2 linked regions of the Bombyx mori genome follow. Each later gene encodes a partner of the first gene's protein in a complex. Links are inferred from orthologs where the notes say so. Each region holds a gene or a part of one and is shown in the gene's direction. Other genes may lie near its edges.

What was found. Proteins that work in one complex are often made in the same cells at the same time.
Region 2: mediator of RNA polymerase II transcription subunit 4 (region 1) and mediator of RNA polymerase II transcription subunit 7 share a complex: the UniProt entries of both Homo sapiens proteins name them as parts of the mediator complex. The link is inferred for Bombyx mori from reciprocal best matches to the Homo sapiens genes MED4 and MED7.

The regions. Positions count from the first base shown.
Region 1 is NC_085112.1:8,185,946-8,197,271, reverse strand, and holds mediator of RNA polymerase II transcription subunit 4, read left to right. Parts: upstream 1-4,889; 5' UTR 4,890-5,145; coding exon 5,146-5,213; intron 5,214-5,286; coding exon 5,287-5,467; intron 5,468-5,606; coding exon 5,607-5,758; intron 5,759-6,205; coding exon 6,206-6,384; intron 6,385-6,932; coding exon 6,933-7,108; 3' UTR 7,109-7,276; downstream 7,277-11,326. Other genes in the region: peroxidase, read right to left, coding at 1,501-1,619; putative inner dynein arm light chain, axonemal, read left to right, coding at 9,033-9,119, 9,198-9,329, 9,945-10,094, 10,225-10,353, 11,144-11,326. UniProt on the Homo sapiens protein: Component of the Mediator complex, a coactivator involved in the regulated transcription of nearly all RNA polymerase II-dependent genes.
Region 2 is NC_085119.1:10,077,074-10,088,605, forward strand, and holds mediator of RNA polymerase II transcription subunit 7, read left to right. Parts: upstream 1-5,205; 5' UTR 5,206-5,405; coding exon 5,406-5,591; intron 5,592-5,663; coding exon 5,664-5,932; intron 5,933-8,405; coding exon 8,406-8,610; 3' UTR 8,611-8,737; downstream 8,738-11,532. UniProt on the Homo sapiens protein: Component of the Mediator complex, a coactivator involved in the regulated transcription of nearly all RNA polymerase II-dependent genes.

The DNA.
Region 1 (11,326 bases):
CAATTTTGTACATTCGGCTTAAAAATTCGAGAAATATTTTGAATAAGTTAATATGCAGATTTAATTTGAATTTTAACTTTGAATTTTCATTCTGATTACGGAGCCCATTGGATTGGCCCAATCTTAATTTTTTATTTATTTCGACTTAACCACTAATGTTTTTATTTCTTACTTTTTTTCTATAGATATAATAACTGCGTGAATAATTGTATATCCCGTCATCTCCATTTTACTAATACTCCATTCCTCACTAGTACAAAGACCGTACGTGGTACCATTGCGCGATACGATTCCAAACATAATATTTTCCCGGGCACCATTAACTCTAAACTAAACTGAGGATCTTCAAATGAAATTCGAAAAGAGTACTATGGGGTGTACGGCCTCTTTTCTGTAACCCTGGTATTGCTGACGTTCATGGGCGACCACTCACCATCAGGCGGGCCAAAGAAGTCAATCAAAAATTATAATTTTGCTAATTTCATAAATGCTTGGACAACATAAACTGAATTAACATTACCAGAAATGAGTTTACATTTGTTTAAAATATTGTCAAACACATCGTTTTTTAATCACAAAAAAAAAACTTTTGAGATAAAACTCTATTAAATGTAATTTTTCCCGCGTAAATTTTAAATTATGTTTTTATTCACTAAATGGTTTTCTAGCCTACAACAGTAGAACACAAGTATAATATAATGCAGTCTAAAAAACGAAAAAAACTACTTGCTACTTTTGGTTATGCTAACATTAACTGAGTTCACGAAATATTATAATGATAACATTCTCGCGTTCCTCACTACATTGTTATGTTGTTTGTACCTACTGTATTACAAAACTAGTAATTAGGTTAATATCTTTTTCCCTTTTGACCTTGCGCACTACGAAATAGTAGTGAGAATATTTTATATAACGTAATCTCAATATCGTAGATATAGTTGCATAGGTTTTTTTGTATTGCATAGAGGATTGAACGGTCCACCTGGTGTTAAATGGTTACCACCAGAGTCCACGGACACAGCAATGCCTAATCGTCGAAGTTTAAATTTCATTGTGTAACGGCTGACCTACCTTTGAAACCAAAACGCATGATTTCTTCACGGTAAATATAGTTAGGTAAGTATAATCCATATCTTACAAAAATTCATACACCCAGTAAAAAATCAGGTACAAATATTATTCATTTTTAAATAAGAAAACACGAGGAACATTCACCGATCGTTATAATAATATTATGGTTGAGGCCAAAAATAGCAGGCGTGTTGTAATACATTTCATGCATTTTTGCAGTTAAATTGTGCATTTTAATGTTGTAGATGACCAATTTGAGCATAAGGCGAAGCGTAGTTACCTACTTCTCAACTGTGCTATTTTATTTTCATTGCTAACGGAGTACGCCGGTTAATAAATAATTCAAGTAAAATTAAATAGAAATTGAATATTATTCTATTTCATAACACCTTAAGATACCATCTTCGTTAATGAAGAAGGTATACTTACGTGGAATGTTCACCACATCCTTCACATTCCGACTTTCTTCTAGAACATCTCTCTGGAACCTTATTCTTGGTGTCGGCATTCAACACGGACTTTCCTTCAATGATCCGTTTAAACAACATAATAGTAGTAACAGTATTTGTTGTTTACGACAATTGTCGCGCTTATGGCGAATGTTTGATTTGTTTAACACGATCGCAGACGACACTTGCTCAAAAAAGCGCTGTTCCATTAGATTGGCAGAGGAGCCAATTTCACCTCTACTGCCAAACTCGGACTGGAACTACTCAGTTACGTACTTCCACTTCGAAGTCAAGCTGACGATCGAATCGCTATTCGCTACACAAATGTACTGCTCTCCCTCCCCGCGCACACTTCATTCCCCGTGTGACGCCATTCTATAGAAACTTTGCCACAGATTAATCATGATACAGTAAGTAAGGTATGATTAATTTTCAAAGATCAGAAAAACTATTATTCGTTTCAATGATGTATTTATGAATTAAATTTATAATGATAAATATACTTTAATATCTGTCTTGCTATTCATCGAAACAAATAGAAATTAAAGATTCTTGAATTTTGTTCACTTGATATTAATATAATTTACACTGTGGTTTTACAGCTCATAGGGTCTTTATTGCCGTGTTAATAATATGTGATACATTTAATTTTACTGTGGGCCTGCCCTAAGTTGATAAAATAACTTTCAACCCGCTTGGGCTTAATTAGTTGTCGGTGTCCAAGCTCATTGATATGAAATTAATGACTGTTGACGTTTTCGTTCATTTCAATATAAGTCTGACCATAATATTCCCAAACCTGACAAAACTCTTAATTTGAACCAAATTCTGTACTATTGTCATTTAAACAAAACTTTTCATGACCACAATCCACGTTACAATGTGTACAGTAAAACTCTAATTTTCTTTATATTTAATTACCATGGCACACTAACAAATGTCCACGAGCACGTGCTGTACGCATGCTCATAGCGTGTTCAATCCCCCCTCAGGCTTCGTCGAATGCAACTTTCCCCTCCTCCCTCTCACGTCCCTTGTACCAGCTGATCACGCGTTCACAGCGTGTTCAAGCCGGTTTCTGTGAACTTGCAAACGCATTCAAGAGAGTGTTCTTTTGTTTACCATAATATTAGGTTTTACTGGAAATTGCATCAGGTTTGAAATTGCGAATGCTAACTTGCACACTGATAAATTAATACGAGGATGTGTAATCATAGGTTTCTTTAAAATGCATCATAAACAACAACATAATAATATAATTCTTTGACATATTGTATTATAATTTCAAGTATTATGTCGAATTCATCTACAGATCTATTGCGTAAGCTACATTGAAAGTAAGTTCGAATGAAACAAATTCAATGGGCTATACATGAATCTGTCATGAGCATACAAATACTACGGAGGATCGATAAAAAAAATAGTTTAGCCAGGTTGGTTCAAATTACTTCCGATTGCCACTAAGTTTATATTTGCATAGACGGTATTTAGACCCTTCTGTCTATTGCTAACTGTACCAAAATCAAATGTTTAAATCAAACGGTAGTACAATTTTTTATAAAAACACTTATGCGAGGTTTAAACTCCTAAATAAACCCTGTTATGATTACGAGTATTTATTTGACATATTCTTAAATGAAGTAAAGGATAATTAATAACTTTATTAAGTAAGGAGTATTGGAACCGGTTGGGAAAATAAAGACAGGTGTTATTGATAGTAATTCCTAACACAATAGCACTAAAAATGAGAATCTATTTTTATGAATTTTAGCAAATTTTTTTGTACGGAGCTCTAGCAATAAATCAACTGAAGCCCGAAATTTATGATCTCGAGAGAGTGCAAGGCAAGTCTGCTTTTGCATTGTAAGTTCTCCTATTGCAAGTTCGTGAAATGCAATCTAACATATTTTTTTTATTGCTTAGATGGTTGGACGAGCTTTACGCCCCACTCGGTGTTAAGTGGTTACCGGAGTCTATAGATATGTACAACGTAAATGCCACCACCCACCTTGAGACATGAGTTTGAAGGTCTCAGTTTTAACAGTATAACGTCAGCCACACCCTTCAAACCGAAGCGCATTACTGCTTCACGGTAGCAATAGGCAGGATGGTGGTACCTACCCGTGCGGACTCACAAGACATCCTAACAACACCATTCTTTAACTCCGTATTGACTGATTATCGGAAGATATAATATGAGCATCACAGCGTGTAAGTAACCATCCATTTTGATTGAATTAAGGATTCGAAGTCTCAACTGTTTTGTCTATTATCTTGCCCTTTATACCGAAACGAATAACTGGTAGGTGGCAATAATAGGAAGCTTGGTCGTAGATACGTATCTACAACCTACGCTATACCGCCAATAATTACGAATTATAAATAAACCATAACAATCAATATCACAATCTTTCAATCCTTTTTCAGTATTCGCAAGTCTAATAATTAATAGAATAATTTTTTTTGTGCAGTGTTTCAATAATTTTGATGGAATCAGATGTCCTTTATTTTGAGAATATTTTTATTACACCAATATTGTATTTCTTCTGACAAATATTCTGAACCTGTGAAATGGTTTTTTTTTATCTAAGCTTGAGAGCTATGTCAGTGTAACTTATTAAGTAGGTGAGCTCACGGGGATCTAACCTGACGACGTTGCTAACACTAACCCTAGCAAGAGCAATACTTTGCAGAATCTACCACGGGATCGGAAACGCGACCCACTGAAAAGATCCGGCGAGAAATTCAGTGGGCTTTATTTGTGGGTTATTTTACTAGCCGAGCCTTCGTCGCAAGCGATGGGTTCAACGAGAACGATGAATGATGACCAAACGATGTTCAAATTCATGAAAGTGCACAACGGGTAGAAAAATGAAACGAAATCGCTACATGTGGTTTTTCGGAGTCTTTCAATTAACGTCTCAGGAAATAAACACGATTTTACTGAGAGATCATATCATAATAACTAGACTCTACAATACTCTACATGGGTAGGTACCAGCGTACTGTGTATTTCTGCCGCCAAGTAATCATGCATTCTGATTTAAAGGGTGGAACACACTTTATAGTGTAAAATAGAAAAGTGAAGTTAAAGTTGGGGGCAGCAATCACTTTGTGATGTCTTTAAGCTCCGGTAACTACTAATAGGCCTTGAGGTCATTCACCCATCTTCATAAGAAAAAGTAAATCATCTCATCTCGTTACCAGTAGTAAATTTTATTTTATTTCTTATAACGTAAATAGGCTACGGCCTTATAAAACAAAGTTTGTAGATATAAATTATACTGAAACTCACTTTAAAACTAGAAAAACTGTAAAAGTACGAGAATAAGTTTCTCTATATCATAGAGAAAAATATTTCAAGGCTCTACTAATTATTAGTCTGTGCTTGCTGTGGAACATAGTCTATGACTTTCACGTTTGTCGTCTGCTGTATTGGAAACATCAAACAATGTTATTATTTTTACTGTAAACATTGAATGTAGTTACCACGTACATAGTAGCGTTTTTGATACAAGAAATCCCAAGAGTCGCAGCGTTGGGGGGTCGTTTGTCCAGTTCATATGATATAAGGAAATAATACATATCGTTTATATTAAAAAAAGCTGTTAAGCTATATAGAGCTATGGCGTCACATTTAAGTACTAAAGATCGCTTATTGGCACTAATAGATGATATCGAACTTATTGCTAAGTGAGTTAAAACACGATTGAACTGTGGAAAACATTACCGATCAACTTCATGTTCTAATTCTTTAAATTTTCAGGGAAATAATAGAAGTTTCCATAGCACCAAAACCACAGAAAGTGTCCGCTGCAGATCATGCTCAGTTGACGGACCTACTTCTATCAAAACATGGAGAATTGAAAAAAACATTAGACCTAGCTGACGAACAAGCAAAGATCCAACAGAAAATGAATGAACTCAAAGCTGAAGTAGATAGTAAGGTAAATACTACAAAAGAGATTTATTTTAAGTAAAAAATGGATAAAATTTTGGAGTGGACTGACTCATCCACTGCTAGTTCACAACAATTTAAGCCACAAGCGAATTATGTAATTGAAATGTTTTTGTTGTGTTACTAAGGATCAAGATATATATCACCTTCAAAGACAATTGAAAGATGCAGAACAAATTCTGGCTACATCACTGTATCAAGCTCGACAGAAACTTGCATCAATAGTGAAGTCTAGAAAGAGACCTGTACCCTCTGAGGAGTTGATCAAATTTGCACACAGGTTAGTAAACAATTAAAGATTTCTACATTGAAATTAAATATTTTTTCTGAGTCAGGTCCTTAAAACACATGATGAGTACTCCTAAATATTGAATATTAAATATTTATGATCTCAACAGAGATTTCAAACCTGACCAATGACAACAGTGAGACAATGATAGTAGGCACATTGACTAACAAATAAATCAATGAGATGTTTAGTATATTAACAGTTGATTAAGTTTATTAATGCAAAAAGTCTGAATGGATATTAGGTATTGTGTCTGAATAGCCAACAATGTTATGAAAATAACTATCTACAGAAAACAGTTTCTTTCATAACTATAGAGTTACACTTTAATTAAATTACATTAAAAAGAATTTTTAAATATTAGACAGTACACTATTTTTGATGTGAGAACTAAATAGTACTTAAAAAAACTTTTTTTGACTTACTGATATTTTACAGAATAAGTGCATCTAATGCTGTCAGCGCACCTTTGTCGTGGCAACCTGGTGATCCTCGTCGGCCTTATCCAACTGATTTAGAAATGAGATTAGGAATGCTCGGTCGCCTCTGTGATCTGCCATTGAATGGTCACACGCCTTCTACACTGAATGAACTTCATCGTATAACAACTGGTGGAGGTATAAATGCATTACTCATTATATTAATGAATCATTCTTAGAACAAGTTGCATATGTATAGAACTCTTTGTGCAGTACATATTTATACAATTCTAGTATTGGTACTTTATCGTTATAGTTAATTTGATTCATCTACAATAAGCATGTATTATCATAGTTATTAATAGCTATGAGAGAAGTGGGTGATAGGGAACACCAAACACCTAAACTACTCAGCAAGTGCTTTGGCAGATATATCATGTTTTGGACCACTGTATTAAACTCAAATATACAAGAATAATATTTTTCAGGAAAGTTGAATTAATGATCAAATTTCTATAGGATTTGTAAAGAATAAAAAAAATCTCCTATGTTATTGCCACCTCTTTTTATTAATATTGTCAACAGAGGCTTCCTTCAAAACCCATAACCCATGGAAATTATTTAAGAATATTCTTATCATCAGAATTTTACAGAAACATTTTACCCTTTTGTTAATTGCATTAGGTAAAAAAAACATGTAAAACCATTTGCTTGTTAATCAGGTTTACTGTGTTATATTATTTCAGTACCAGCTTCAGCTTCAAGCCAATTCACTTGGCATCCATCAGGCGAGCTACACATGTCTGTTGGAGGCGGTAACTCTGTAGCTATTGATGGCCGAGGGAAGGATGCTCCCAACCAAGAAGATGTTGAAGTTATGTCCACAGACTCCAGTTCAAGTTCAAGTAGTGATTCACAATGAATACAGAAAAACCGTGGACTTCATTTTGATTAAAAGTGTAGTGCAACTCAACAAGTTAAAAAGACTGATGCTTGTGTTTATTATGAAAAAAATATTTGTAGAATTAATTCAAATGTTATTTAAATATCCTCATAGAAATGACATAATAAAAAAATTTATTCCACATAATCGTTTTGTTATATTTGAACAAAAATTTAACCTCCAAATTTATTTTTCGATATCTATGCACGCGAACTCTGCGATTAAGAGTTGGAAGTGCGAACTAGCCTGTTGACATAACCCAAACAGTTTCTCGTCAGTTCTTCTCAGTGGGTTGCGATTCTGATCCTGTAGGTTTTAACGAAACATTGCTCTTGCCAGGGCCAGTGTTGGCAAACTCTCTCAGGTGGAGCCAGTGAACTCATACACGTCCGCGCGTTCCTGGAATAGCCCCTTAGGCTACCAACGAATGGGTAGGTAAAATATATCAACGATCACGAGGCCCGATAGCACCGGAATATATTACAACTAATACTACTCATAGGAGTTGTATAAGTGTTTGGAGCTTTAAGACAACTTAGTCCGGATACTATTGCCCCTAGGATTTAGTACTTTAACATTTATTTTATTACTGGTGGAAGGTCCTCTTGTGAGTCCGCGCGGGTAGGTACCACCACCCTGCGTATTTCTGCCGTGAAGCAGTAATGCGTTTCGGTTTGAAAGGTGGGGCAGCCGTTGTAACTATACGTAGATCTTAGAACTTATATGACTTATATCACAAGGTGGGTGGCGCATTTACGTTGTTGATGTCTATGGGCTCTAGTAACCACTTAACATCAGGTGGGCTGTGAGCTCGTCATCCAACTAAGCAATAAAAAAAATTACTAGGTATTCCTGATAGCTCGTTAACTCGCAATGTTCGATTTTATGAAAATATCTTGGTGGTGGCCTAAGTGAATGTCTAAGCTGACTTTCAAAAACTTATGGCTTTATCTATATTCGTTTCAACCAGAAAGTTCATGTAATGTGTATTGCATTCCATGGTAAATTTGGTTTCGCAGTCCCTCAGTGTACTATGAACGATCTTCGTTGTAATTTGGATACACGGTTCGCAGCCTAATTGCTATGATTACTTTTTCAGAGCTCATTCTAAGTCATTAACCGTTTCATTTCTATTATCACCAACACGTACATGTACACAAATTAAATTGACACTTATGTCGACCTGATAATATCAAGCTTCGCTGTAGTCTATTCTATGGCCAACAAGTGCTTTGAGAAGAGTAGCTCCCATTTTAAATGTCTTATCTATGGCCTAGCTATCGCTAAGGACGTAGGTTTTTTAAAATAAATACCCCACAATGTCATCCGCGCAAGCATTGATAACGTAGGTATGTACATCTTCGTTTGGAAGACCGATGCAGTCGTCCATAATATAGCAGTTTTTATACTTATATCACATTAAATAAGATACACTTTTTACTAGGGAAACGTAAGGTTACTAGGTTTTTTTATTGCTTAGGTGGGTGGACGAGCTCACAGCCCACCTGGTGTTAAGTGGTTACTGGAGCCCATAGACATCAACAACATAAATGCGCCACCCGCCTTGTGATTTAAGCTCTAAGATCTACGTATAGTTACAACGGCTGCCCCAGCCTTCAAACCGAAACGCATTACTGCTTCACGGCAGAAATAGGCAGGGTGGTGGTACACACCCGCGCGGACTCACAAGAGTCCTACCACCAGTACTAGTAGGTTATAAAGATTATTAAAAAAGTATAAAATACTAGGCAGATGCTAAGAGCCGTTGCTATGGAAATAACATTTTGCTTGACAATTTGTCAGAGAGAATTTTAGAATCACTACGTTTTAATTTGATTACTGCCACGATAACCGTGACTTCTCAAAAAGTCAAATAGGTATTTTGCAACAAAAACAAACGGAAATGGGAGAACGGGCACCGGTATCTGCAGAAGAGACGTTAGTCCGTTACGACAACCCAGTGTTGGTGACTAAAAGACAGGAAAAAGTTGTAAGATTTTTGATTTATCAAAGGATCTTCGTTAATAAAAAAATAATGTTCATTTTATAATAAAAATGTTTTACACAGCCTTCCCCGAGAGCTGGCGCTTCAACACAACCGTGCGTACCCACCGAAGCAAAGAAAGAAACTGAAGAGATCTTAAATGCTATTTTACCCCCGAAAGAATGGGAGGAAGATGGACAAATATGGACACAAAAGGTACTACAATTTGCAGCTGTAAAATAAAGACAGACAGACTTGAACTTGACGGCCCAATTTATGGTAAACTGTTGATACCACCAGTAGGCCCCGGGCACGCCAAGAAGACAGAAAGGGCGCTACACAGAAAACACTTAATGATCGTTTGTAGAACGTTTCAATGGTTCTGAGGTTTAGTTTTTAGATGGTTGGCGAGCTCACAGCCCACCTAGTGTTAAGTGGTTACTGGAGCCCATACACATCTATAACGTAAATGCGCCACCCACCTTGAGATATAACTAAAATATATAATAATAATAATAATAATTTATTTATTAACCTTGATACATTTACACATAACAGTTTGCTAAAAACTCTCCACACTAGGCACTGCCTGTCTCGTGGAGAGTTTTTTAAATATAATAATAAATATAATATTCTTATAAGTTCTAAGATCTACTTATACAACCTTTCAAACCGAAACGCATTACTGCTTCACGGCAGAAATGGTCAGGGCGGTGGTACCTACCCGTGCGGACTCACAAGAGGTCCTACAACCAGTACCACCAAGAACGGAGTATTCACTAATTAAATGGATAAAAATATTAAAGTTCATTTGTTACCGTTATATTGTAGATTTCTTCTACTCCGGCGACCCGTTTGGACGTGATAAACCTGCAAGAAATGCTCGATACTCGTCTGCAGCAGAGACAAGCCAGAGAAACCGGTATATGTCCAGTTCGAAGACAATTGTACACCCAATGTTTTGATGAACTTATCAGACAGGTAGTTTCTTTCAAATAGCGTGAAATTTTCTTAAGAATCTCTTCTTAATATACATTTCAAAATACGTTGAAATAATCCAAAGAAATCGTGTTTTTGTTATTGAAAGTAGGCTTGAATTTTCATTTCGAAGGTAACGATAAACTGTGGGGAAAGAGGACTACTTCTGCTGAGGGTGCGGGATGAGGCACGAATCACTATGGAAGCTTACCAGACCTTATATTGCAGTTCTATCGCGTTCGGTATGAGAAAAGCTCTACAGGTGAGGTTCATTTAAATTACGATTTACTAGATTGACTGCTGAATAATTAAAACATTATGGAAATACGAAAAAAATAATTACAAAATATATAGAATATATCAGTTATTTTTCACCTCTCTCGCGCCTTTTAACAGTCAACTTTGAATCGTAATTCGAAGGTCATCGTAAATTGTGAAGAGTGTAACCGCCACCTAATGTTGTTTTTTATCATTGCCTTCAGATTGTGAGGTCTCAGGATCTTTTTTTAATTGCTTCGACGTGTGAACAAGCTACCGGCCCACCAGATGTTAAGTGATTACTGAAATCCACAGACCAACTGTCGATGTCGCGATGACTTCCGAATTATAATAAAGACAGCGTATGTGTGAAATTACTTAGTCCGGAACGAGCTCCACTCACGATGATTTCTGAATGCCATCACACGTTTACCTCGAAATTTAATTTGAAGAGCCTTCAGCGGTAAGCTACCGCACGTTTGCGTTGAGCTTTGCTTCTTTTACATATATAATTGTCATATATTTTATTGGTGGTAGGACCTCTTGGGAATCCGCACGGGTAGGTATCACCACCCCCCGCCTATTTCTGCCGTGAAGCAGTAACGGGTTTCGGTTTGAAGGGTGGTGCAGCCGTTGTAACTATACTGAGACATTGGAATTTATATCTCAAGGTGGGTGGCGCATTTACGTTGTAGATGTCTATGGGTTCCAGTAACCACTTAACACCAGGTGGACTGTGAACTTGTCCATCCATCTAAGCTATAAAGAAAAAAAAAATTATTTATATTTTATAGTCGGAACAAGGGAAATCAGATCTCATGGACCAAGTGGCTAAGTTAGAAGCGGAACGGTCGACCTTGGAGAAGCAATGTATGGAGTTAAAGCAGAAAACGGAACAGTTGGAGAGACGGGCCGCGGAACTTAGGGCCGCTGAAGAGAAACGACATCAAGAGGAATTGTTAGCTTTGAAGAAAACT
Region 2 (11,532 bases), on another chromosome or scaffold:
GGTACTGACTGGCTATGGGTGTTTCGGCCGGTACCTGCACCACATTGCCCAGAGGAAGCCGACAGTGAATCGCGCAAATAAGACCCGAATTGAAGTTGCCGACCATCATGGCTACGATACACGGCAGCAACGAATCTAAATAACGATGCTAGATTTCTCCGAGTCCACCATCTCGCAGAATGAAGTGGCGGAACCAAAGAGGAAGAGTTCATCCTTCTCCGCAATGATCCATCGTCACCATGCCGGGGGCGGAGTAGGCCTTTGGTCCAGCTTCTTTATTTGTATGAGTCGGCCTCCACCCGGTGAAGATCACAGGGCAACCTGATGGGGTGAGGCCATGCAGCCTCGTGTATTATAACTTTGCAAGATTCTGGTGTCTGGATTGAACTGGATTGTAGCAGTAGACTCTCATACAGAGGACAAACTAAAAATTGCGAATGTCAATTTAAGTGGATACACGGGACTGCAGTTTGACAACATGCTTTGCAGCAGGGCCAACCATTAAGACTTGAAAAAAATCAATTATTCGCTGCTAAAGAAAATAAAATGCACACGCAAAATAAAGCGCACTTTACTGTATGACAGCAGTGATACGGAACTGCAGTTCTAATGGACTGTAGTCCCAAAGTCCCACGTGTTACCTAAGCGCAGTGCGGCAAAAAAAATATAATTCGTATAAGGGGCTCCCACATTAGAAAAAGTAATATCTTCCAGACAGCCGTTTTAATCAAGGGTAATTCTAAAACAATAGCCGGAAGAATAATACCTATAGCTACCATTATAATAGGGTTGACACAGACAACAGCATTGGAAATAACTGATAAGATGTATCTCTTAATGCCGCAAGGTAATCGCTGAAAAACATTGAACGAAAAGTTAGGTACACATTAAAATAAATTATACTTGAAAATGTTGAAAAGATAACTCGAGCTGTTTAATTGAACAGTCCTGTCAAGGTTGAGCGACACGGCAATGTAAAGAACTGGCTTAAAGTATTAATTTCCAAATCAGAAAGCAGTGTGAAATCAGGATTGCCCCATACCTATTGATCTGAGAAATTAATAGATGTGGGTCTTTGCTTACAATGGATGCGTGGATATGTTGGGATTGAATATTCCACAACCTGTCTACTTAGTGCGAGTTTTTCAACTTCTCGATTGCGTAAAAGTTAACTCATATTTGTATGGAGTTGGAACAACGCCCCTAGCGGCAAACGAAGGGAAGCTGTTCCTATTCCATACAAATTTCGTAGTACACGGTTCGCCGTAGGCACTAGTTGAGTTTTTTTTTTTTTTTTTTCCCACAGGAGAAAATCGCCGGATCCCCACCCGCGCGGCAGGTGGGGTATGTGGGAGTTGAACCTCACTAAAAACTCCTGCCGCTCACAACCGGCGCCCTACCTCGGACCGGGCCGGAGCCCAGTCGGGGCTATTGAAACGGCGGGACAGGGTTGACGCAGAGCACATTACATCCATCCCACCGTCCCACGGACGCCGGACCGGTGGCCGCCAGCGACACGACCACCGGTTCCCTCGTTCAGCGGGCCGAGAGCCCGCTTTGATGGCGCCGCGTTACACCTTCCCCCAGAGCGGTCGGGGGAACGCGGTCTGCCATCACCCGGCTTCCTATTGCGGGTGAGCGTGCAAGCACGCCACCCCACGTCTGGGTCTCTCCCCACACAAAACGGGTGGGACCCCTAGCTCTTAGGGGGCCAGGTCACGGATACGACCCCGGTCCCGACCCCCTGCTCGGCGGCGGCGGGTTTCTGCGTAGTGAGGAGAGCTTTCCCTCACTCGCCCCGCCGAGGCGCTAGTTGAGTTGCCTTGTTTTCTACTCTCGTATCGAAAATTTACATATAGAACACGGCCCTGGGCTGTCTTGTTGCCGGCCAAGTAAGGACCCTAGCTTTTGATAACTTCGAAGACCGGCAGTTGAGGTAAGCACTATGATTCATGTCTCGATTAAAGATAGTTTCCATCGTAATAGGAGATGGACAGGTCGGTTTTGCTCAAGGCGGTCATAGGTTTGCTTACTCATTCACCTGATATGGCCTCGCTGTGTTGCTGAACGAAGTAAGAAATGTGAAAAATATAACATACTCAATTACTCATTAGTTTACTCGAAGAAATTAATTCGAATGCATGCCCGTACTTTAAGTAACCTAACCTTTAATTTATAAATATTTTAAATAATAATTATGATTATTATTTTAAATACTAAATTATTATTTTTAGTTTAAATAAATGTACTAATAGAGCAGGTAGGTACTTTTGAAGTCATAATAGTTAGTAATAGTACTTTGATTCATTGAAATGAACTTCAGTCATTACTGAACATAAACAGAATATTTTTTGCAATTCATTAATGTTGCAGAATCTATGTAAATAATAAGCGCAAAAGAAACATAACTAACTATTCATCTGTTATCACCAATTAAAATGTGGTATCTTCTTTCGTTTATTGAAAGTGAAAAAATGTGTGTGAACTCAGTGACAGTTCAGTTCAATGACAGTGTTCGCGTGCATTCTTTAAGGAAGGTAGCTAGCTTCGACCTTTGATTAGCTAAAAGATTATGACGATTAACAATGGAACCTTAATCTAATATTAATCTATCGTTTAGATATGTTATATCTAGGTATGCTAGTTATAGCTAAAAAAAGGAACATATTATACACTGTAGGATAATTTAGTTTTTTATTTTAAATTTAAATATTCGATAGAGAGGAACGTAGCCCATACAGCCCCCAAGTCTTCTGTTTTAAAGCCAAAAACAATTAACGGTATTATCTAAGGCCAAAGAATCGGCTCGTATTATTATTATTGTTTATTAATATTTATTTAAAATCTTATTAATTACATAATATTTTTTAAAAAAGATATTAATAATACAATTTTTTAAAAACACTATATAAAAATAGATTGCCGCTGATGGCGGTGTCTACGACACAAGCCACCAGTGGTTAGGACTCCAGAGTGAGAAGCCTCCTCACAATGCGTGCAGTATCGAGGATAACTGCTTTCTGTATTTGGCCCTTAACCCAGCTGGATAACGAAAGTTTTTTAAGATGTTGATCGAAACTTTTCGCTATCAAGCCGTGTACCGATACAACTATTGGAACAATGATGGTTGAATCAACATGCCATATGGCGGTAGTCTCGTGGGCCAGGTCTAAATTTTTTATTAATTTGTCCTTTTCTGCCTTCACGAGGTTCTCGTCATGAGGAATGGTGACATCAACCAACACTGCTCGACGTGCAGATCGATCTATTATCACAATATCAGGTTTATTGGCAACAATATACCTATCCGTGATAATAGATCGGTCCCAGTAGAGCGTAACATGACCATTATCAAGAACTGGTTGAGGTTGGTATTGGTAATAAGGTACAGCAGAATCAAGAAAACCATATTTCAGAGCAAGTTGTTGATGGATAATCCTAGCCACTTGGTTATGTCTATGCAAGTACTCGCCGTTAGCAAACCGAGAACATCCAGAAACAATATGTCTAATAGACTCTCCCGGACGGTGGCATGCCCGACAAATGTCGACCGTCCCATCCTTTAATATAATATATTTCCGGTAGTTGTTCGTCATGATAACTTCGTCCATAATTGCAAAGATAAAACCTTCAGTTTCCCCAAAGAGGTTACTGAATCGTAACCAGGCCACGGAAGCTAATTGGTCTACATCAGGCCCTGTGAGAGCCCGGTAGAACCTACCGTGTAACTCCTTGCTCCTCCATACGGTTATGCGATCTAAAATACTCTTATTATTATTATTATTATTTGGTATCTAAACATACCTATCTCACACCATGTTTATTTAATGAAAAATTAAATGGAACTAATTATGAAAAGAAATTTAACTTGGATTAAAACTGAAGAATTTTTTTATAAATTATATAAAATATACAGATCAAATAAAATAATTCATAAAACTTACATCCCGAATTCCTGCCAAAGGTCTGCTAAATTAGATATTTTATTTCATTTTTCATTTTTTATTTGGGTTATACAATTACGTATGAAATGTAAATAAAACTACTTTTATTGTCTTTAGCGAATAATTGAATTTTTTCAAGTCTTAATAGTTGGCGCTACTGCAAAACATGCTGTCTGTGGCGGGTAGCCATCATACAACGCAAGATGATTGACGGATGCCTGAATCTCGCTTACGACATTTTCAAGATAAGGCAGAGCTCGAAACTTAGGCATCCGCCACAGAAAGCATGCTTTGCAGTAGGGCCAACTATTACTGTAGATATACGATAAAGGGAAGATCTTCCACCGAGCGGGTGATAATTGCTCTGTAGACCGACGGTCCGAATGTTGTTGTTCGGAACTTGTATATAAGCAAGCTGATCTTGAAAATGTCGTAAGCGAGATTCAGGCATCCGTCAATCATCTTGCGTTGTATGATGGCTACCCGCCACACTGTCAAACTGCAGTTTCGTGTATCCACTTAATCGCAATCGCGATGTGCCTTTTAATTTTTTTTATTTTTTATTGCTGAGATGTGTGGACGAGCTCACAGCCCACCTGGTGTTAAGTGGTTACTGGAGCCCATAGACATCTATAACGTAAATGCGCCACACACCTAAAATATTGTCCTCTGTATGAGAGCCTACTGCTATAATCCAATTGATCCAGCTCAATCCAGACACCAGAATCTTGCAAAGTTATAATACACTTAACAGATCTTAGTTACTCATTGATTTTCTTGTGTGATACATTTTATGAAACCATTTTAAATGATTTTATAGACACACCCCACCCCTAAGTTTGTTGCCAATCTTTCCTGTAACATCCTTAATAGTTAATTGTCTCCACGACTTGCGAAAGCTAAAGGAACAAAGCCCATAAAACATCTTTTTTATTTTATTTATAAAAGCCAAATTGTTTACATGAAATTTCTTTTTGGTTATAAAACATCAAAAATCTTTCGACAAAAATCAGTTCGGGATTTTTTTTTTCTAAAGGTTCATTGAACACTCAGTACATTCTCAGAATTTTAGCGAAAAATTACTTCACTTCATTTTGTCCACACTTACGGTGTTGTCATAAACTCACCTCTAAATTGAAGTTCATTTAACTTTCACAACACCTTCGACCTTGGTGGCAAAAATTGGAATATATGAGCTATGTTCCCTTTGCTTATCCATAAGGCCAATCAAACAAAAAAAGCATACTAAAGCATAGATTAAACACTTATTTTTTAGAAAGCATAGACAAAGCTCATAATAATTCATACATTTCATACTGTAGTGTGTAAAGTTGTTTTAAAATAAATTTCTTCAATTTAACACAATATTTAAGAGTATGTAAATCTTTTTTTGTAAATATAGGCATATTCCGTTTTTATTAAGTGTTTGCTAGAATCGTACGTACGGATTCCCGGTTCACAATGTCAGAGACAGCTCAAGTTAGCTCTTTACCTCTGCCTCCAATGCAATATATAAATTTTTACACGGATGAAAATGTTAGAAGAAATAGAGCTCCTCTACCACCTCGACCTATTCATGATTCTTATTCAATGTTTGGTAATTCTTTTAACGCTGATGATGCTATTATACGTTCGTTAGAAAGCCAGGTAAGTCCTAAAACAACTAGTTTACAAACACAAATGTTTATGTAAATAATTCGTTGTAAAAAATTCCTTCAGGGATTTCGAAGATTGTATCCTATGCATTTTGAACGAAGAAGAGAATTGAAGAAACTTAACCATTCACTGCTGGCAAATTTTCTGGATTTGTTGGATTTGCTTGTTCATTGTCCAGATTCTCCAAAGAGAGCAGAAAAAGTAGAAGACCTAAGTTTGTTATTTATTCATATACATCATCTTCTAAATGAATTTAGGCCACACCAAGCAAGAGAAACATTGAGAGTAATGATGGAATTGCAGAAAAGACAGAGGGTTGAAACTGCAGCAAGGTACTATTAATAGCGTTAATTTGTCATATGTTGGTGTTTCTACTATATCTATACTGGACACCAAGGAACCATTCTAGAAAATAAAGATAGATCTCAGATCACAAATGACAAAATAAAAAAGATGCCAACATAAATATTTAAGTTATGTTTTTGCCACACACATGATATAACCATTAAGTGTGTGACTTATCCTTTATTATTTTAGGCTTTAACATTATAATATGATCTTTAATTGGGTGGTAATGTGAAAGTCTGATTTAAATTTCACTGGTTGGATTTTCACTGGTTGGAAACATTAGGTGCCACTAGTGATTAGACATTTTTATCTGTTACCACAGTACCTTCATGATTGAGATTCCCAGACATTTTGCCCATCAATGTTATGTTAATTTATTTATAATTAGTAGAACCTGAATAAATTTATTGTGTTTAATCTTACCATAGGCTGTTAAACACAAAGTCATATTAAGTTCTCCCAATGTTTGATATTGAAGCAGAATAATGAAAATCAGATTTGTAATGAGTTTAATTTTTTTTTATTTTTATTGCTTAGGTGGGTGGATGAGCTCACAGCCCACCTGGTGTTAAGTGGTTACTGGAGCCCATAGACATCTACAAAGCAAATGCGCCACACACCCTGAGTTATAGTTCTAAGGTGTCTCAGTATAGTCACAACGGCTTCCCCACCCTTCAGACCGAAACGCATTACTGCTTCACGGCAGAAATAGGCGGGGTGGTGGTACCCACCCGTGCGGACTCACAAGAGGTCCTACCACCACCAGTAAAAAACCTTAAACTTGTCTCAATAAAAAAATTTTAGTATTCATAATGTCATATCATCTTTTTCAAACCAAAATCTGCCCTCTGCACTTTTTAGAGATTTCCAAATTTGAACTGTTTTGAGTAATATACAAAAATATTTTAATATAAAAAAAAAGAAATTAGCAGATATTGTTTACTGATACTACGAGGGCGGCACTGAAAATTTCGGGAATTAACGAAGTGACGAAGTTACTATTTAAAAATGTATTTATTGCTTATCGAAGTATTCTCCGCGAAATTTGACACATTTTTCCATACGATGGAACCAATCATTGAAGCAACCATTCCATTCGGAAGTTGGGGTCTCCAAAATGGCCGTTTTGTAGGCGTCTACAGCTTCTTCAGGTGATGAAAATCTCTGTCCACGCAATTTATTCTTTATTTTAGGGAAAGTATAGAAATCATTAGGGCTTAGGTCGGGGCTGTACGGCGGATGGTCTAATAATTCTATGTTTTCTTGCTCTAAAAACTCTTTTGTTCTGTGCGCGGTGTGAGAACTCGCATTGTCGTGATGGAGGATGATGCGGCGGTTGCAGTTCTCTTTACGGAGTTCAGAAACGACCTGTGGCAAACAAATGCTAGCATACCATTCTGCATTAACCGTTCTTTGTCCCTCAAGAGGAATAGTCGTAACATGGCCGGTTTTGGAGACAAACGTGGCCACCATTTTTTTTGCAACACTCCGTGAACGAACAATTTTTGTTGGCTTTAACTCATTTTCGAACACCCAAACTCGTGACTGGTTTTTTGTTTCGGGTTCGTACGCGTATATCCAGGATTCGTCACCTGATACAATGTTGTATACAGCATTTGAGGATCCTGCGTGGAATCTTTCGAGAGTTCTGACGCACCAAGTAACGCGAGCCGCTTTTTGCTCTTCACAGAGCGAATGCGGTATCCATCGGGAAAACAACTTTTTTACACCTAATTGTTCATGCAAGATTATTTGTATTTGACTCATGCCAATGTCTAAAGTTGCCTGAATTTCGCGGTATGTCACATGTCGATCTTCCTCAATCAGCTTACGCACAGCATCAACGTTTTCTTGGGTGACTGCAGTTTTTGGACGACCTTGAAGGGAATCATCACTGAGCTTGACACGTCCACGTTGAAACTCAGCAAACCAGCGATAAATTGTGGTTTTGGATGGGGCTTCATCACCAAATACAGAAATCATCCGGTCAACACACTGTTTTTGTGTTAAACCACTTCGAAAGTCATAATAAATCATCGCTCTTGAATTTTCTCGAGTCAATTCCATTTTCTCAACGACTAAACAAGTTTGACAAAACCTCGTGACAAGACCGAGAATCTTTTTTAAAATAAATAAATGGTATTCGATTTTTAAAACCAAGGAGTTTTCAATTAAAAAGATTTTAATATGACAGGAACAGTAGAAATATTCCATTCCCGATACTTTTAGTGCAGCCTAGTATATTATAACACAAGATTGAACTCGAAAATTATTTGTTGTTTATCGTCGTGTTTTTGTGGATGGACAGCTGTTACCTTACAAGTTAAATTTCCATTCGGACCATTGTTGCTTGACTTTGGTTTAATGTGTGAATTCTCTGAAGCAAAAAATAGACAAGATGCTGGTATCCATGGAACCTAATCCAGTTATAAGAGCTAATAAAGTCTGTTCTTTCAGATTCAAGAAACACTTAGACAAGGTACAGGATATTTTACAGAATGCTCTCCAAAGCTTACCAGATCAAAATGAATTGGAATCAAATTTCAAAGTGCCAAATGAATTGTTGGACCAAATGGAAAATAATACTTGCAATATTCAAAAGGCTGATCCCTGCTTTGAATTAGATAGAATTATGTGCAATGTAGTTGATAATATGAGATAGTATTTATGTGAATTATGGCTGACTGCTAAAATCCATTACTCAATAAACAACTCCAATACTTAGGATTTAGATTTATGTGAGGCAATTGTACTAACAATTATTATATTAAAAGTATTGTAACCATCTACCTCAGTGTATTAATGACTCCAGATTGTAGTAGCCACTATGGGACAGTGGTTCCGGAAGTGGCGCATTGACATCAATCCCACGAAAAGCACAGCGATGCTCTCCAAAAGGGATCGCCCTCCGAATACCACTTCGAGCAACCCACTCCCTAATAGGCGGGTTAACGCCTCCGCCGTTAGCCCCATCACTCTGGCCAGCCCATACCGTGGGCCTCGAAGGTCAAATATCTAAGCGTCACCTCGACAGGGATGACATTCCGACCCCATATCAAAACGGTACGCGACCCTGCCGCCTTCATATTAGGACGCCTCTATCACATGATTTGCAAGCGAAGTAAATTGTCCCTTCGTAATAAGGTGACACTACAAAACTTGCATACGCCCCGTCGTGACCTATGCAAGCGTAGTGTTCGGTCACGCGGCCCGCACCAACTTGAAACCCCTTCAAGTCATTCAAACCCGTTTTTGTAAGATAGCCATCGGAGCACCATGGTTCTTAAGGAATATGGATCTCCATGATGATGTGAAGCTTGACTCGGTCAGTATTTACATTCTTTTTTTTTTTTTATTGCCTTTGTAGGCAGACAGACATACGGACCACCTGATGGTGAGTGGTTACCGTCGCCCATGGACTTCAGCAATGCCAGGGGCAGAGCCAAGCCGCTGCCTACCGCTTAATACTCTCCATAAGCCTCGTTTGAAGAAGGACATGTCATAGCGCTCGGGAAACACCGTGGAGGGGAGCTCATTCCATAGCCGGATTCCATTCGGCATCATTGCGCCACTTTGAGAAGGTGGCATCATTGCGCCACTTTGAGAAGGCGGCACAACACAAAAACACACTTGTCCCACACGGAAATTATATAACCGATCCTGTGGACCAAATGGTATACAGTTGACGTCGCCCTAAACACGTCATTACGGATCCTCCCGATCCATTAACGGTGCTTTTAGGTACCTCAAGCACCGGTCACCGTCCTCGCTTGCGACGAAGGACTACGAGTAAAGTAACCCAAATACACAGCTCACTGAATTTTTCGCCGGATCTTCTCAGTGGGTCGCGTTTCCGATCCGGTGGTAGATTCTGCGAAGCACTGCTCTTGCTAGGACCAGTGTTAGCAACACTCCGGTTTGAGCCTCGTGAGCTCACCCACACGTCAAGGAGAATCTGAAATAGCCTCTCAAGGCTATCAGCATAGGTAGAGTAAAAAAAAGTGTATTAACTTTCAAGTCAATCTTGCTAATTATTATTACGTTCATAGGTTTCCCCTTTCTCAGTTCAGTCTGTCGACAGAGCCGGTAGAACTGTAGGTATATACGGGCTTTTGGCCAAGTCATATACGGTAGCTATGAGTCAATATACTAGTTTTTATTACGTGTAGTACCTAAGTTTGGTTTTCTTCAAGCTGCAGGAACTTTGTTACTATTCTGCATGTTTAATTATAATAATTATTATTATCTTATTATTAATTCTTATTATCTTATTTATTTTACCTTACAGTATGTATGAACATATTGTGATTTCATTTAAAATAATTTCCTATACCATAAATAGTAAAACCTATATAATAAAACCTATGTAACCAGTAGATTCGCAATGGGACCACTACAATAGGACTTCAATGTATTGAAAATTAGAATCATCATCTAAAAATCAATGAGTGCACATTTTAGGGCCTTATCATACTTATTATACTCGTGCGATCATTCTTAAAGCGGAGCGGGCGCGCAACGTACACGCCGCGCATGCGCAGCGTAGACGTCATTTTGTACTGTCTACTGTCTCCTAAAAACGCATGGAGTTAATAAGTAGGTACCTAAAATACTAACTCTATGTAAAAACGCCAACCAGTCCGGCCTGCCTCACTTCAATCCGTGTGTCTTCATGTCATAGTAAATTTGTATCAGATACATCAACTCAAAAAAATGTAGTTCTTAACATTCGTAGGTAGAAGCGAAACTGTTTTGGATTATTTTTTATTCGTTTGCCAAAAAACACAAAGCAGTCGCTCTCTTCCATTCGATTAATTGATAATGGATCCTCCAATTCGTCGATGCTTTCGTTTTCGCCTTCGAAGTAACAAAACCGTTACTGAGTGTATTGTACGTCGTTAACTCGCTACAAATACGCGATAAAAACGTTGCGTATTCGCCAGGCTCAAGTAAAAAAAAACACAGGGTATTAAATACTTTCTGAGAACTCCCCCAATCATAGTAAAGGATAGGTTTACTTTTAAATGATGTCATCGGAATGAAAGGTTACAAGAAGAAAGATAAATTATACCAAATATTGATTATACAGTCGCGTTCGATCCGCAGGCGAGAACGGTCACGCCACACCAAAAATCGTTGAGTTAAATAGTGTTTTTACCAAATTGTGAATATAAAATCAGTTTTTAGTGATAAAAATCAGTGTTATACACCGTTGGATGCGCGCTAAAATTCCGCATCTATTACCATTTCTGGTGAAAAATTTGGACTTAAATCAAGCGAAAAAATAAGAAAAAACTGCTAAAAATCAAAATTTGAAGTGTTAAAAATTCATAAAAATGGCAACTTTGTAGTGAAAACATAGTGAAAAGTGTCTTTCGGTGCGCGCTCGAAAGCTCTTCTTAAAGGGGATTGCCCACTCTCCATAGTGTGCTAGGCCCAAGATGGACATCAAATATTACTATAAAAATGTACTGATTCAAATTCTTAAATGTATTGGATATCTAAAAAATATATTGAAATTGACGCCACTATTATAAAAAATATAATAAAAATAAAAACTCGTTTTGAAGTTAATTTTCTATAT